Linked DNA regions of Daphnia pulex. Each later gene encodes a partner of the first gene's protein in a complex. Links are inferred from orthologs where the notes say so. Each region holds a gene or a part of one and is shown in the gene's direction. Other genes may lie near its edges.

Region 1 (6,371 bases):
AAGCGGGAGAGGGTTACTTTCAAAACATGGGATGCGAGGTTTCTCGATCCTTGTGGACGTTGACAAGAACACAACATTAAATTGACAAGAAGACCCTCAAATTCAAAAAACAAAATAAATTTGAAAACAAAACAAAAAAAATATTCTGTTATCTTTAAGAGCCTAGAACAGCCCGTTCTTGGATTGAAGAACGGCACAAGGGACAAGATTCCAATTGTCGAGCACAACCACTGCAATACCCTCTGTAAAAAAAAAAAACGATTTTTAAAAAAATATTTTAAATTTGAAAATATTGATAATCCTACTGATGACGGCAAGGTAAAAGTGTGATGACGGCAGGTGCATCGCAGCATAATGAGCATGAATCTTCATGGATGTTGGTGAGTCTCAACTGCTCTAATTTCTTCGATCTATCGGCAGATAATAAGGATGTCAGATTATTCTGGTAACCAGGTTTACTTAGCAAAAAATATTAAGTAGAAACAGAACCTTGGCAATATAATTTTTTGCTCTGCTGTTAACAATGCGTGGTCATTGAAAGCAGACACGGCAACTCCTCTGGGTGCAAAATGAAATGGTTTACTTCCGAAATTGAATTCGCACTGTTGAAACGACATAAAACTTGCAGCGGCAAAAAAGCCGCTTCTATAGTTATAACAAAAAGTATACGGTATTATTTTAAATCGTTTAAAAATCAGGATTGCTATTATACTTGGCAGATTTGAAAAGTTGTGAGTTAGACCCAAGTGCAACCCCATTCAACGAGAATATGACTTCCTCTCGATCAATATTCAATAAACATCCTAAAATATCTCCAGGTTTCCATTGTTGAAGTGTATGTGGTATGGATTCCGCTTCATACCAAATCAAGTTGCGACATCCATCATAGGCAATGGAAAACTCGTCATCACCGATACCATATCCTTCCTAAATAGATAAAAAAGAAAAGAAATAATAGTTTTCCATTTGACCTAATTATTATAAATGATAAGTACGTAGTTAAGAAATTTGCTGGATTTCGTAGCCCAACCAATCTGCATGATTCCAGGTGTGACTATCAACGCTTCGTAATACCAAATGCCAGCATCCGCTTGATATGTACAGCGGACACTTTCAAAGGAAGAAGCGTCGCAGCGAGCTTCAAGACCATTGGCTGCAATTTTGAGATATTCGCTAACATCTTGGCTGTTAAGCATAACATTGATAGCACTTGTATCTGTGCGTTCGTAGGTGAACGATCGCCCCTCACTAACGACTGTTACAGAAATGAATAGCATTCAAAATTAAGGTTCATTCAAACGTGTGATAAAGAGTTTTAAAAAAATGCATACATAGATTATCAAGACACCATTCAGAACAGAATCCAACTTGACGTTTCATGTAATCGTCGGTCGATTTCCATTTTTCCAACACCAAAAGTGGATGCTGGGTTTCTTGGTGGAATCTTTTATTGAGAGCAATTTTGTTTTCACCTAAATAGAAGAAAAATGAGAAACAAATCCTACAAACTAGTTATAATTATTATTTTTTACTTGTTTGAGCAAATTTCTCAAGAGCAATTAATGAAAACAGTACTACTGGTGGGTGGTTTGATGGATCCTAAAAGATATACATTGTTGAAAATAAAGTGAGACCAAAGATTGATTGTCAGACATACCAGGTTGGCTATAAGGTAATCCAATGTGCTGTCAGTTAGCAAAGCAACACTTGTAGGCCCAGCCAATTTTTCAGCAATGCAGCCCAATGCAATACAAATATTCCTGTGACGATTAGGATCTGATCTTCCCCTTTTACTAGCTTTAGCTGACAGCCAAAACATCCGGGGGACTTTAGTAATGGAATCCTGAAAAAAAAATGGTGAAAATTTAACCTAGCAACAATGTCTAACATATGATTAAAATCTTACCTTTGCTGGTAAGGCACAGTCATCTAGCACCAGAGTGATGACAGCAGGTCCAAGGGGTTCATTAATGGGTATTACATTAACCATGGAATGTAGAACAAGCAACCAACCATGCCCTTTGTTAGAAAGAGCTTGTAATCTTAACATTGAAGGAGGTGTTTCTTGATCACTAAACAAAGAAGGAATAATTAAAGTGGATACATAGGAACATATAATAAAAACATACTTTTCAACTAAATTTCCTATGACAGCTAATGTCTGCAAAACAAGACTGTCAATATGGGGTAGCATTCGCCTCAAGTGTGAGGCCTCAGATGCTGGTATAACATGAGATGGGAAACTTCTGTCTCTATCAACTGAAATATTAGATTGCAGTGGACTTGGGAGGCTGGCAGTTTCTGGTTGAGGCACTGAGAGAGAGGGTAGTTCCCCATCCTTTTCGTCACAACATAAGCATTGTCCCATTTTTAACTGCTTCAGTGGAAATTAAATTTGAACATGTTATTTGAGAGAGATCGTCACTATTCAAACGTGCAATTTGATCTCCATCTTAGTTAAGTTTATAAGTGGGTGTATATGGATTGACCAGGAATGGATTTGACGTTGTTCAACAATTAATTTCAGTAGCACTATTTAACCATGTTATAAATATGGATGGTAATCTAGTATTGAGAAATTCGATGAAAAAGGTATCGTCTGCTGCTTATAACGCGAACATAGATATCCGCTAGGGGCGCTTATAGGAGAGCCATCCTTTCACCGGACATCTAATAGTATCTAATGCCTAATGAGGAGTAACACAATTTGGAGTTTTCTTTTTCTTCCGTCAGATGTCGAAGTCCACAAGTTTGTTTATTAAAATAAGTCATACTGATACTGTAAAGTCTAATTAGTAATTACACGTTGTGGAATTCGCGTATTGCATATTCTTTTTAAAATAAGGCTTATCTTTTTTTGTCGAAGACAAAGAGTTATTTGATTGAATGGAAAAATAACATATAGTGTCCAATTTCAATTTTCGCTAGCGGGGTACGAGGTGATTGGCGACAGTTGACTTTGAATGTTTTCGAACTACTCCTTTGAGTTGTTGCTGATTATGCATTGAATTTATATCAACTGCTTCCTTTATTTTATCCTTTTTATTTATTTCAGTTACAGAATGGCAACCGGAATGATGCAAACATTCATCACTGGGCTTAGATCCAGAAGTGAAGATTTGAGACTAAAGGCTGCCCGAGATTTACACCATTATGTAAGAGAAGGATAAAGAGCTAAATGTTTAAGAAGGAAATAATATAGAATTGTTTTAATGTTGTCTTAATTTGTTTAGGTGACATCTGAGTTAAGAGAGGCATTGCAGGAAGATGTAATTTCATTTGTTGATGATTTGAATCACCATATATTTGACATGGTGTCCAGCTCAGATGTCAATGAAAAGAAAGGTGGCATTCTAGCCATAGTTAGTTTATTGCAAGTAGATGTTGGAAATACCAATGCCAGAATGACTAGATTTGCCAACTATTTGAAAAACTTACTTCCATCTCAGGATGTAGTTGTAATGGAGTTAACTGCAAGGGCACTTGGAAAATTGACACTGGCAAGTTAAACAAAAATCTAAATAGCCTCTACACATAATTAAAACAGATGATAAATATAGATATGCAATTTTTAATAAAACAGGTATCAGGAAGCTACACCGCGGAGTATGTGGAATTTGAAGTAAAACGAGCCTTTGAGTGGCTCAGTGGCGAGAGAAATGAAGGTCGTAGGCATGCAGCGGTAAGTTAAAAATAACATCATTAACGATATGTTGATACCATAAGTTTTAACTCAATTTCTCACAGGTGCTGGTTTTGCGAGAATTGGCTTTATCCATGCCAACTTTCTTTTTCCAGCAAGTCCAGACTTTTTTTGACGTTATTTTTTATGCTGTTCGGGACTCCAAACCAATGATTCGAGAAGGCGCAGTTGCTGCTTTACGCTCTGCTTTAGTCGTCACATCTCAGCGAGAAACTAAAGAAGCTCAAAAGCCTACTTGGTAATAAACAAGCTTGTACAAGTTTAACACATAAAGATATAGTATTAACCATTAATTAGGTATAAACAATGCTTTGACGAGGCCCAACAAGGTTTTGAGGAACCGTTAGCCAAAGATAAAGGACTAACAAAGGACGACAGAGCTCATGGATCTCTTTTGGTTCTTCAAGAGCTTCTACGTTGTTCGAATGCAGAGGGTGAACGACTTCTCGCTGAACTAGAGCAATTAAATTTACTACATTCACAGACTGTTCAGGTTGAATATGCCGATCTTTGTATGACCTGAGCAAATGCGATAATTCTCAATGATTTTTTACCAAAGGATTCTCTAATTTCTACAACTTCCCGAGTGTTGCCGAACGGTGCTGTTGAATTAATCAACACTCCTACACTTTACAATAATCTCCGGCTTTTGCCAGGGCATGTCGCTCAATCAAGGATAGCCAGCGCCGTGTCACCACTATCGATAGTTGCGCCCCAGCAGGTGATTTATAAAATTGATCGCAATACTTCCACTTACCTGAACGAATTTTCTATACAAACAGTACCCTATAGTTGAAAGCGCTGCATGCCGCCAATTGACTGCTGATCATTTTGATGAAATTTGTGCCAACACTCTTCGACATAGCATCTCAAAAAGCAGCCATGTACAAGCAGCTTTGATGGGAATTCTGCCTAGACTGGCTGCCTATGATCGAACCCGATTTTCTGATAGGTATTAAATTTTTGGAAAATTTCTTAAAATGACAAATGACCATACATACTTAATTTCCCCAGGTATTTGGGCCCTTCGATGAGCTACTTGATGGCGTGTTTGACCCGCAAAGAAAAAAATCCTCACCTTGCAATGATAACTATAGGTTATATAGCAGTGTGTATTGAAGGGGATATTGCCACACATCTCCCTGGCATTATTAGTTTTGTTCGGACTTCTCTACCTCAAAATAAAGTAGAGAAACTAAAGAGTGTAAAGAAGAAAAATTCTTTAATTTTCGAAACTTCTCCAAACTAGGACCCATCTTCTACCAAAAAACGCTCCAGTCCCCCTGATATTGCTGTTTTCGTCTGTCTAAGTCTGCTTGGCCGAGCCGTTGGTCGTTCTCATCTAACTAGTGAGTTCAAGGATCTACTGGATCCCATGCTGTCCGTTGGACTTAGTCCTGCCCTGACAACTTGTCTTCGTGAACTGGCCTTGAGAATTCCTCATCTTAAAAAAGACATTGCCGAAGGACTCTTGCGGATGCTTTCACTAGTTTTGATGCACCAACCACTTCGTCATCCAGGCATGGTTTTATTTTAAACAACGAATTTGGAAAAGTACATTCTACTTGAATTAATTTATCCATTCTATTTTAGGAATGCCAAAACATCATATGGCGCTCACTCCAGTGGCACTTCAACCACTACCATCGAATGGGGATGACGTCAATAGCATCGTTTTAGCTCTAAGAACGTTGGGGAGTTTTGATTTTCAAGGTTAAAAAACCAATTTATTTAAAATTCAATGAACGAGAGACGCAGATTTTTCAACATAATTTTGTTTGTGTCGCTAGGTCAACCACTACTTTTACAATTTGTTCGCCATTGTGCCGACAACTTTTTGTGCAGTGAGCAAAGGGCCATACGTCTTGAAGCTGTGCGAACATGCAGTCAGTTATTGAAATGTGCACTTCAGGAGTCAGTGAAATTAAAGAAAAAGCCATTGAGAAGCAGTGGAGTTCGCCTAGTTTCTGCTACGGTAGCTGAAGTCTTGAGTAAACTGCTCACCGCTGCCATCACGGATCCTGACGCTAGTGTCCGATACTGTGTTTTCGCGAGTCTCGATCCCCATTTCTTTTCGTATCTGGCGCTTGCGGAAAATCTTGGCTCTATCACTGTGGCGCTAAACGATGAAGTCTTTGAGATTCGAGAAATGGCTGTGTGTATCATTGGCCACTTGTCTTCCATGAATCCGGCTTATATTATGCCTGCTCTGCGTAAGCTTTTAATACAGTTGCTCACCGAATTGGAGCACAGTGGCATGGGTCGGAATAAAGAGCAAAGTTCGAGGTTATTAGGACGCTTGGTTTCTTCCGCACCAAGGCTAATCAAACCTTATATGGAACCCATCCTAAAAAGTAAGAACTGCCAGTCAAAATTTGAGGAATAATATTTTGATGTGTGTTACAAAAATTGTTTTATTTCAGTTTTAGTTCCGAAATTGAAAGAAAACGACCCTAATCCTGGAGTCACAATCGCCGTTCTCACTGCTATCGGAGATTTAGCTCAGGTGTCTGAGAGTGAAATGAGGCTGTGGAGCCCTGAGCTACTCCCTTTGTTATTGGATATGTTAGCTGATTCTAGTCTTCCAGCTAAAAGAGAAGTTGCCTTATGGACCTTGGCACAGTTGATCGAAAGTACAGGGTAAGGATTCTCACTACTTGTTTCTTGC
Region 2 (4,792 bases), on another chromosome or scaffold:
GTACCAAATAAACCCACACTAACAGTAGACGGTGGGCTAAATGTAAATGGTACTCTGAGCAATTTGGTCACACCTACGGTGCAAAATGATCGTATGGATGTTAGTTCTTCTGCGTCTTGCAGTTTTGACCACAGCTACGTACTGGTACCTCCACGAACACCAACTTCTCTAGAAGAGAGTGCTGCTGCGTCATCGACATTGCGCAATTTCGAATCAGCTACATCTCAGGAAGCACAAGAAAATGCTGGCCCAAATGAATCGGATCACAATTACGTTATTCGTTCTTCTTCGACCCCTACTGTGAATGAGGAGGAAAGTTTCCATTTGGGTATGGCGGGTTACCACAACTTCATTAATGGTGTCGTTACTCCTACAGCTGAATGGACTTGGTCCTTCAACGAACGAAACAACAATTTAGTTTGTTCTTGTCATATTTTTTCCCATGACGGTGTGATGACTATAAAATCTGTTAAAATTGTCACCATGACCAAAGTTGCGTTGTATCTGAATGGAAAACCCATCACGCCTCCAGATATGCAATTTGAGTTTCGAAGTAAAGCTGATTTAGCAAATATTCTTGAAGATTTCAATTACAGAAGAACATGTCAAGGAATTGTGGATGATTCGCTAGCAGATACCGAAGTGACGGGTAAATGTGCTGGTATCAAGGAAGGCAATTTGTGGCGCTCAAAAATGTGCATGGGAATTGCAAACCCTCCTGCTTCCGCTCTCTGTTCAAAATGCCGCGTTTTTAAAAATTATTTGAAGAGAAGTACAAATAATCAGAAGACCAAGAAATTGAAAAATTCGAAAGAAGATTATAAATCGAGGTTGCGTTCCACCAAGCAAAGGTTGACACGATCAAATTCTAAAATTGAGGTAAATTATTGTTGGATTTTTTCTCGGAATAATCCTTTAATAGTTCTTTCTGAATTTCAGGCTCTTTCAGGTACCATAGAAGGTTTGCGCAATGAAAGGAAGAAGCTTTACTGGAATAGCTTTGATGTGAAATTAAAGCTTTTAAAGCCCAAAGTAATGATTAATTGATATGTCAAATTTCTCTTTTCAGCTAATTTACAAGAATTACTCACTTTTAGGAACAGCTAGTTGTTAAAACAATGATGGCCAAAGCAACAGTGAATCCTGGAAGAAACGATCGATTCAGCGCAATGCGTTACGATCCCGAATTTCTCAAAGAATGTTTACGAATCAGAAACAAAAGTTCTTCGGCGTACAAGCATTTAAGATCCGAAGGCATTCTTCCCCTACCGAGTCAGAATACACTCTTAAGAATCATGAAAAAAACAGATCTCGGTGATTCTAATAAATCAACGCAACCGGATCCACAAAACGTCTCCGCCGAATCAAATTTCATGGAACAAACAAATGTGGAAAATGAATGTCCTGCCTTACCCCACTTCACTGAGTCCGTATCGCCTACACCTGAAATAATGTTGCTACATTCAGAAGAAATACCTGTGTCTGTACAAGAAGAAATGATTGTTGAAATCTTGTCGGTTCAATAAAATGTGATTTAAAACTTAAAAATTTCTCTTCTTTTTTTTTAATTTCATACCTTTCGTAATTTGGCAATGCGGCCTTGGGCTCGTAGTTTGAGTTTCTGATCGTCGTCTGCTAGTAGAGTGATTTCAGAAGAAAAACAATAAGGAAATTTATTTTGTTGGTTTGACTTAAACGTCAAACAATATAATAAAACCTTATGGGTAATAATAATGGAGATCAAGTTATATTAGCTACAGGAGGTTATGATCACTCAATTAAATTCTGGCAAGCCCACTCGGGAGTGTGTACCCGGACGGTAACACATCCCGAATCGCAAGTGAATGCTCTCGATATCACCCCCGACAGCCAGCTATTGGCAGCTGCAGGATACCAACATATTCGCATGTATGAAATCAACTCTTCTAACCCCAATCCCATAGTCAATTATGAAGGTATTTCACGAAATGTGACTGCTGTTGGATTTCACGAAGATGGACACTGGATGTACACTGGAGGAGAAGACTGTTCTGCAAGAGTTTGGGATCTTAGGTATCATGTTTCCTCGTATTATTGGAAAAAACATAGTTTGATTGAGTTCTCATTTGTGTCATTCTAGGACAAGAAATTTGCAATGTTCCAGAATATTTCAAGTCACTGCCCCTGTAAATTGTGTTTGTTTGCATCCTAATCAAGGTGAACTATTGGTAGGAGACCAAAGTGGTGTCATCCACATCTGGTGAGATTTTACGTACCTTTCTTATTCTGTTGGGAATGATTGTAACACATGGATTGCTTATATAGGGACCTGAGAACAGATCACAATGAACAACTGGTTAGTATTGATACCTCAAGTATTTCCATTTCCATAATAATATCAATCAAATACTTACAGATTCCAGAACAAGATGCCTCCATTCAAGACATTTCCATTGATTCTTCTGCAAACTTCATGGCAGCCATTAATAACAAGGTGCCCATTATTGATGTTTATTCTTAGTTTCCCAACCAAGTCTTGAGATGTTTTTTTTCCTTTTCTCTCTCTACACAAATAAAGGGAAACTGTTATGTTTGGAGCCTCATCCCTGGGACTAAACTGCCGGACGGCGAAGAAGGTTCGACACCAACACAGTTGCGACCGAAAAGCCGTTTGTTAGCTCACAAACGTTACGGTCTCAAATGCAAATTCAGCCCTGACGCAAAGTATACGTTCGCCTCGTTTTCTTTGAATTTCTTTTTCAATCTTACAATTGATCTCGCAGGTACTTGGCCACGACGTCAGCCGATCAAACGGCCAAGTTATGGAAGACTTCCGATTTTTCCCTTCATTCCACACTGCAAACTGAAAATCAGCGCTGGGTGTGGGACATTGCCTTCTCTGCCGATTCACAATACGCAATAACAGGTACTTGACTCTTCTATTCTTCATCCTGGTTTTGTCTGCCTGTCTTGATGAAACATTTCGTTTATCCAGCTTCGTCCGACAACACAGCAAGGCTGTGGAGTATAGAAACGAGCGAGATAGCTAAAGAATACATTGGTCATTCAAAAGCTCTTACCTCATTGGCATTTCAAGACGGGACACCGTAAATTGAACATTTTACCATAATTTTCCCTTTTTTTTGGTTTTTTTTTTTCTTCTATTTTTCTCAAATGTATAAAATGTTTTTCATTGGCTTTGATACACTTAGGAACGCCTGAATTTTTAATGGTACCGTCCCACCTCACTTGTAGAGGTTGATTCATTTGGTAGAGCGGGAATCAACTCACCTATCTTGTGTCGTATTGGCTTTGGCCCCCTCAATCTCAAGACAAACGTCAACGTCAAATTGGATTAACATTCAATCAGTCGGGCGTAATGGGTTTGGGATGGCGTGACGAATTTCAGCCGAATGGAAGCAACCAAGCGCCCTATCCTCCTCTATTCATGTCAAGTCATCCATTTCTACAGTCCAGCAGAAAGGAGAAGGGAATAGTCTCGCGTACAACGAACGTGGGGCTCATCTATCAGTATTAATCTCCTTAGTTGGACACTAGCCTCGATTCTTGATGAGATTACCGAATTCAGGGCACCGAGGATGGACTTGATCGCTCCCGTGCCGGCCATTGTTTTTTCCAAACATCTTTCTTCCGCTCCTTTTTTTATCAGTTGGTTTTCCATCACTTGAATGTCCCATCACTTAAACCACCAATGCGGTGGACCGGGTTGGTCGTCGCATTAATCTCATGTCGACCTCTGATGTTTGATTCCGTAAAAAGTGCCAAGACTCCACATGCGTGCTGGCATCTAGCGACCAATAATAGCAGCTAACAGATTTGATTTCAGGATCCTATCGATCGGCGGCCGGGTTGCTGGCTCTTCTCTTCCGAGGCGGTGGTTGGGGAGAGCACACACAGCTTCCTCAAAAGAAACAAGACGTTATTTACTTTTGTTGGCTACGCTTACGTGAGACCCAGTGGAGTTTTAACTGCTGATCCAGGCCGGCTGAGAAGTAGAACCGAGAAAGAAATCCTGAATTATTGTCCGTCATAACAGAGGGATTGCTTTAGTTGCAGTGTCGAGACCAACTGCTGATGACGATGCACGTCGCCGGATTGATCCTTGCACGGGGAGGCAGCAAAGGAATCCCGCTCAAGAACTTGGCCTTACTCAAAGGCACGCCGCTTCTTCTCTGGGCGCTCAGGACCATGTCACAATGCAAAGGTAAATTACTACTGTCGCTACTATGTAATTCGATTTTAGTTTGTATGGCCGCAACCCCACAATTTTCTCTTCCAATGTTGAGGGTAACATTCTCCTTCCCGGCCGACATACGTGCAAGAATGAGATAGGTGTTTCTTTCTCCTTCTCGCAGCGCTTCAATTGAATTTGGATTGGCATTTTTTCATTGGATATTTGAGTAGGAAGGTTTTTTCATCATGTGTGTGTGTGTGTACAAGGAAAGCGAGATAGACGTCTAGCTGTATGCTCATTTGTGCGTGTCTAAAAGGGATGCCGAATGCAGTCATTCAGAAGGAGACGATCCGAATTCTGCGCCAACTGAGGCTGTTGGTGGTAGTCAGACTGGAATATAGGAGCGTTTTTCGTCTTCGTCGTCGTGGGGGGGAGAGAAAAGGCAACGGAGCGTGCTTGGCTCCAATACTACGCCCTGCCGCTCCTGTATAATAATAATATAGCTCCTAACCTTTTCTTTTCTTCTTCCTTTTTACAATAAATATATATATATGATTGGATGGTGGTGGTAGTAGTAGTTTTGTGTGCGTTACCAGGAGGATTGGAACGCCAGCGCAA
Region 3 (4,903 bases), on another chromosome or scaffold:
CGGGCAGCCGCTACCGTTACCACCGTTGTCACCACCACAGCAACTGGTCCCACAACAATAACAATCAAGTAATTGTTTTTATTTCTTATTACTGAATGGCTAAATTAAAATTACCTGTTTAAAATTTGATTGATAATTTTTTTTTAGTAAGAGGTTTGACTGCGCGAAACTAGAAGCACCTTCCGCCACAACGGTGTGTCGCCGGAAGAGACAGTACTGGAATCTTCCATTATATGCCGACCATGTCTTCGTCAGCCAGGATGACATCCACCAACAGTACCAGCCGCTGAAACCCACTCAAGTCATCCAGTAAGCATAAATATCTTATCTTTCCTGATAAAAGGGCCATCAAATTATTAATTTTGTATTTGTCAATAATTGAAATAGGGTTCTGCCTTCCGCATTGCCCGATTACCGTAATGGAATGGCCATCCGCCCCTACCAGTCCAATCCGCAGTTCATTTCCCCATTCAGTATTCAGTCGTCGCTCGATAAACCGTCAGATCAGCCAGTTTACAGGGTAGCAGATCCGCTTTTCGGCGCTTTTTACGCCTTTTCTTCTCTTCTCTCCAACATTTTCAGTGGCATTTTCCGACCGCAACCGACTCCGGCCGTCCTCGTCACCAGGTACACGATATTCCTTAAGAAATTCATAATTCAAAATATCACCGTCAATCATAAAATGACATTGAACGATTATAGTACATCGACAGTGTACACAACGACGACAACCGCAACTTCCACAACTTCGACAGCTACTTACACTTTGAAAGGCGCAAATTGTCTTCCAGCCGGAGTTGTTGTTTGTCCAGGATCTAATACCGCTGCTGCGTCCAGTACTACTGCCGCTTCAACCACCGCCTCCTCCACCACTCCGGCCTCCACCACTACATCGGCGACTACAACCACAGGATCGACGCCAACTTCCACATCAGGTTAGTACTTAGTATGAATCCACATTCGTAATTCTAAGATCACTATACATTTTTTAAAATATTTACCAAAATAAGATTCAACTACTACGGCCAGCAGCACCACCGATTCAAGTACTGTAACCAGCACGACAGATTCAACTACTGTCACAAGCACTTCCGACTCAACTACTGTTACAAGCACCACAGATTCAACTACGACGTCATCGACCACGCCAAGCTCTGGTTAAATTCAGTGTTGATGATTATGAAGATCTCGATGATTTAATTTAACAATAAATAATTAGAAATCATTTTGATGCGGGGCATAACATTATTAAAATGGTAAAAGAAAAAGATAAGTATGTTAAAGTAGTATTTAAAGAACAAAACACATTTTTACCTCTTTCTCGACCAATTTCAATACGACCGTGCCCATCAAATTGAACCATACATAGTGTTCGCTTCTGAAAAAGTTAATAAGAAATAAACTCACAGCATTACCCAATTCGTTTTTGAAGATCTAAGAAATGGAATGGAAGACAAATTTAGCCGAAAAAATTATTAATTTTTGCCGACGTTTTCGCGCAACAGACAGTTGATTTGATGCGGCAACACTGCGCTCATAGCAGAAGCTCAATCAAAATGTCAAACAACCTAAAACTAAATCCCTAAAAAGGCAAAACAATAACATTAGAGCAAGAGTTGGGTGTTTGGTCTCCTTTCTCTATGAAAAAAGAAAAATACAGAATGCTTCAATGTTTTATACACATTATCTAAGTGCTACGCTATCCGAAAGTACGATATACTTACTTCATTGGTGCGCGTACAAATCGAAATCGAATTTGGGTTCTAGGTCAACAGAGTATTATGGCGTTTTATGACAACAAATATTGGATTCTTTCCCATGTAAGAAACTCATTCTTGTACTCAGATGATACTGGTGAGTTACTTTATTCTCTTTGGAACATTTGATTTTCTATAGTGCTGATTGCATTGTTTCTCTCCATTCAGGCATGTGCGAAATGATATTGCAGAACGCTGATATACCAAAGAAGATCAGAGAAGAGGGTAAAAAACAGTGGTTTGGAAATTTAGATGATTCAGAAGAAGAGTTTGATGATGATGGACGAATTCACACAAGATCTCTAGGAAATGGTAATGATGACTTTGGAACTCGGAGGAGAAGGCTTAACACAGTGGTGAGGCTTGAGAAGATGAGGAAAGAACAGCAAGCAGCCGCCATGATCAGTACCATTAGATGGAAAGAGCCAGATTTGACCAATCTAGATCAAGGTGAAAAGACCAAGATATTTCAAAAGAAGGAAGTGGTTGCTCAGAATTCCAAATCTGCCCTTTCTAAACTTATGGCTGAGCACGCCTCGGATCCCGATTCGCCATTCATTGAGTATGCAAAATTTGATGGGAATTCTCAATTGAGAGCACCCACAAGAACAATAAGGATATTTTTAAGCATGCAAAGTGCTGAAGACCGCAACTTTCCTATGACCGTTTGTGTTGTGGCTTCGGCAAAGGTTTCTGAACTTATCGGCCTTGTTTGTTACAAATACAGCCACGAAAAAAGAGAACCTCCTTTAACGTAAATATTAAAATTTTGCCCTTGAAAAATTAGATTAATTAAGTTCAGTATATATTTTACAATTAGTGGATCTGTGGATAATTACGCACTATTCATTGCCGAAGACGACGGAAGTCCAGATGCCGATTTCCCTTGCCTAGAACCTAAAGAAGTTGTTGGGAAGTTTGGATTCACCTCCCTGGCTTTGGTTCGCTCTGCCAATCCCCCAAAGGAGGCGAAGAAAGACGTCGAGACTAATAAAACAGTTGATCAACTCAACACTGAGAAACCAGAAGAGCGTGGGGCTGTTCTGGAATCTACCGACTACCATTCGTTCAAAGGATTTTTGCTACACAAAGTTCGGCCAAACACGGAAATAACTTTGGGTAAATAAATAAAATGTTATAAATTATCCATGTCAAATCCAATAATAACGTTTCGCACAGGAATTTCGTGGGACCAAGTGGAGATCAAGCCTTGCCCAACTAGTCGGTCTGTAACAACTTTACTGTGGTCAAGGCCCAATCTCAAACCAACCCGTTTACCTATTGAAGTGATCGTAGATTGTGTTCCTATGCAAACATTGCCAGCATCAGTTGCTATTATGTATTACGACACAGATAAAAGAAAATGGAGGCGTTTGCGAATTGAGTGTGACTCGAAGACCATCGAACAAGTTGTGGCGAAGTTAAAATTCATATTAGAAATCCGGGGAGGACTTTACCGCCAGGAGTACCTCCATCACATGTCATACGTCAACAAGAAAGCCAGCCTGATTCGTTAAAAGAAATTTTAATAATTCAATTGTTTGTTTAATAAACCTTAAAATGCGAAATGTCAATTTTTACAAAGTATAGCGGATTATGTAGCGGAAGAAAGGATTATTGTAGACGTCGTTATCCAGAAAGGAATGGGAGAAGGTCCTATGTCCATTGAAAAGTTGGAACTATCATGCTCTGAACTTCGTCTAGTTGACGCTCAACCGTTGATAAGGACCGATGTAGTTGTTGGGAATTTTTTTCCAGGTGTACGAGTCCTATGTAGTGGCGTGTTTGATATGAAACAATTTTCTTGTTGACTGCTGCAAAATCTGGTAAGCTCTTTAGAAACTTTACATCTTCAGATTTCAATCGGCCTGTTTCAATTTGCACTCTTCCCTTCAAGACATCTTTAAGCTTACTCTTTGCATCTAAATAGGCTTCTCTTCTCTTTTTGTATTCTTCATTCCACAGCAACTTCTCATTCTTCAGTTGTTTTGTGGCTGATCTTGTTCGTTTCTCAAATTTCTGATGAGCTTTATCTCCAGTAGAAACTAGAACTTTGTTTAGAATGTCTTCAATGTTATCCCGTAGCCTTTCTGAATAGGCAGCAACAGCATCTTGCTCTTTTTCTAAGGCATTAAACTTCATTTCCTTCAGGGTATGATTCAGACATAGTTCTGTTATTTTATGTTTCTTCCCAGAAGGAGGTAGGGATGAGTCTACCGCAGCACAAGCAGCTGTAAAAACTTCATAGTGAACAAATTGACAAACAATATCCACAACATTTCATTACCTCGAAAAGTTGAACCAGAACCACCACCAGTAATACTTCTGTTAAGACTTGGTCTCCTCTTTATGAAGTCATCAATGTTGTTTCTTTCTCTTGGAAATTTCTCCGGAATGTGGTCTTTATTTGGCTCATTTAACATCTTTTTCCTCACAGTTTTCTGTAGTTGTCTCAATTAAACTTTGTTATTATTCCCTAATTTTGATTGTTAAAAAGTTAGAGCTAAATTAGCACCAACGCTAACAACTTCAACGGTTTCCAATTTGAAGTGCATCGTTCGAAACGCCACCTTGCGACAGATGACCTTACTGCATGTTATATTTTCCACACGCGCAGGAAAATGTCTAAAATCACAAAAAAAGTGACATGAACGTGTATTTTATTTACACATTTATCGATGTTTTTATATTTAGACGACTCTCTTTCATAGATAAAGTTTAATTAATTCATCACTGACGGCTGATGGAGTGAGAATTCCCAAATCTGTGAAAAGCAAAGTCAAATATCCTGGTGGCGTGTAATCAACTTGAGGATGCTGATCGAGAAGATTAGAATGATTGGATTCAATAATAGTTGACGAGAACTAAAAAAATTCAACACAAGTTTCAGCATTATGGAAAATTGGTTAAAAAATTTAACATACTTTCAGTTCTTGGGGTAAATCGCGTTGGTTCAGCGGGTAGAGACGGACAAATTTGAAGCTCTCAGCGAGAACGTAAAAGGGTTTGTGCATTTCCTTGGCACACAGCGCCATAGTATATGTTCCAATCTATTTCAATAAATTTTTCAATTTTTTTAAATAGTCAAATAAATATATTTTATCCGTACCTTATTGATAATGCCTCCGCTTTCAACAACACCTTCA

The links.
Region 2: the proteins of serine/threonine-protein kinase mTOR-like (region 1) and target of rapamycin complex subunit lst8-like are in contact, whole or in part, in a crystal structure (PDB 4JSV), measured with the Homo sapiens proteins. The link is inferred for Daphnia pulex from reciprocal best matches to the Homo sapiens genes MTOR and MLST8. Residues at the interface, in NP_001373429.1 of Homo sapiens: Leu2269, Arg2270, Met2271, Ala2272, Pro2273, Asp2274, His2277, Leu2278, Thr2279, Leu2280, Met2281, Gln2282, Val2284, Glu2285, Val2286, Glu2288, His2289, Asn2292, Asn2293, Glu2536; in NP_001186102.1 of Homo sapiens: Tyr20, His22, Asp42, Ser43, Gln44, Val45, Asn46, Tyr62, Asn87, Glu105, Gln148, Thr174, Arg221, Tyr222, Leu224, Ser268, Arg270, Gly271, Trp272, Trp274, Ser290, Lys313, Val316.
Region 3: serine/threonine-protein kinase mTOR-like (region 1) and target of rapamycin complex 2 subunit MAPKAP1-like share a complex: the UniProt entries of both Homo sapiens proteins name them as parts of the mechanistic target of rapamycin complex. The link is inferred for Daphnia pulex from reciprocal best matches to the Homo sapiens genes MTOR and MAPKAP1.

The regions. Positions count from the first base shown.
Region 1 is NC_060027.1:5,104,630-5,111,000, forward strand, and holds the start of serine/threonine-protein kinase mTOR-like, read left to right. Parts: upstream 1-2,726; 5' UTR 2,727-2,939; intron 2,940-3,055; 5' UTR 3,056-3,062; coding exon 3,063-3,155; intron 3,156-3,233; coding exon 3,234-3,500; intron 3,501-3,583; coding exon 3,584-3,682; intron 3,683-3,747; coding exon 3,748-3,941; intron 3,942-4,000; coding exon 4,001-4,196; intron 4,197-4,262; coding exon 4,263-4,424; intron 4,425-4,485; coding exon 4,486-4,655; intron 4,656-4,717; coding exon 4,718-4,889; intron 4,890-4,952; coding exon 4,953-5,223; intron 5,224-5,296; coding exon 5,297-5,416; intron 5,417-5,493; coding exon 5,494-6,057; intron 6,058-6,126; coding exon 6,127-6,343; intron 6,344-6,371. Other genes in the region: RING finger and SPRY domain-containing protein 1-like, read right to left, coding at 155-242, 306-410, 490-645, 713-927, 996-1,255, 1,332-1,472, 1,533-1,599, 1,658-1,843 and 2 more. UniProt on the Homo sapiens protein: Serine/threonine protein kinase which is a central regulator of cellular metabolism, growth and survival in response to hormones, growth factors, nutrients, energy and stress signals.
Region 2 is NC_060019.1:9,054,910-9,059,701, reverse strand, and holds target of rapamycin complex subunit lst8-like, read left to right. Parts: upstream 1-1,608; 5' UTR 1,609-1,720; coding exon 1,721-2,052; intron 2,053-2,119; coding exon 2,120-2,239; intron 2,240-2,304; coding exon 2,305-2,335; intron 2,336-2,395; coding exon 2,396-2,473; intron 2,474-2,557; coding exon 2,558-2,703; intron 2,704-2,762; coding exon 2,763-2,905; intron 2,906-2,974; coding exon 2,975-3,090; 3' UTR 3,091-3,214; downstream 3,215-4,792. Other genes in the region: uncharacterized protein LOC124191397, read left to right, coding at 1-879, 940-1,032, 1,098-1,526; N-acylneuraminate cytidylyltransferase A-like, read left to right, coding at 4,075-4,204.
Region 3 is NC_060023.1:2,533,719-2,538,621, reverse strand, and holds target of rapamycin complex 2 subunit MAPKAP1-like, read left to right. Parts: upstream 1-1,545; 5' UTR 1,546-1,669; coding exon 1,670-1,709; intron 1,710-1,767; coding exon 1,768-1,854; intron 1,855-1,925; coding exon 1,926-2,511; intron 2,512-2,577; coding exon 2,578-2,876; intron 2,877-2,936; coding exon 2,937-3,274; 3' UTR 3,275-3,325; downstream 3,326-4,903. Other genes in the region: uncharacterized protein LOC124198557, read right to left, coding at 3,414-3,988, 4,045-4,180; translation initiation factor eIF-2B subunit alpha-like, read right to left, coding at 4,463-4,621, 4,682-4,807, 4,867-4,903. UniProt on the Homo sapiens protein: Component of the mechanistic target of rapamycin complex 2 (mTORC2), which transduces signals from growth factors to pathways involved in proliferation, cytoskeletal organization, lipogenesis and anabolic output.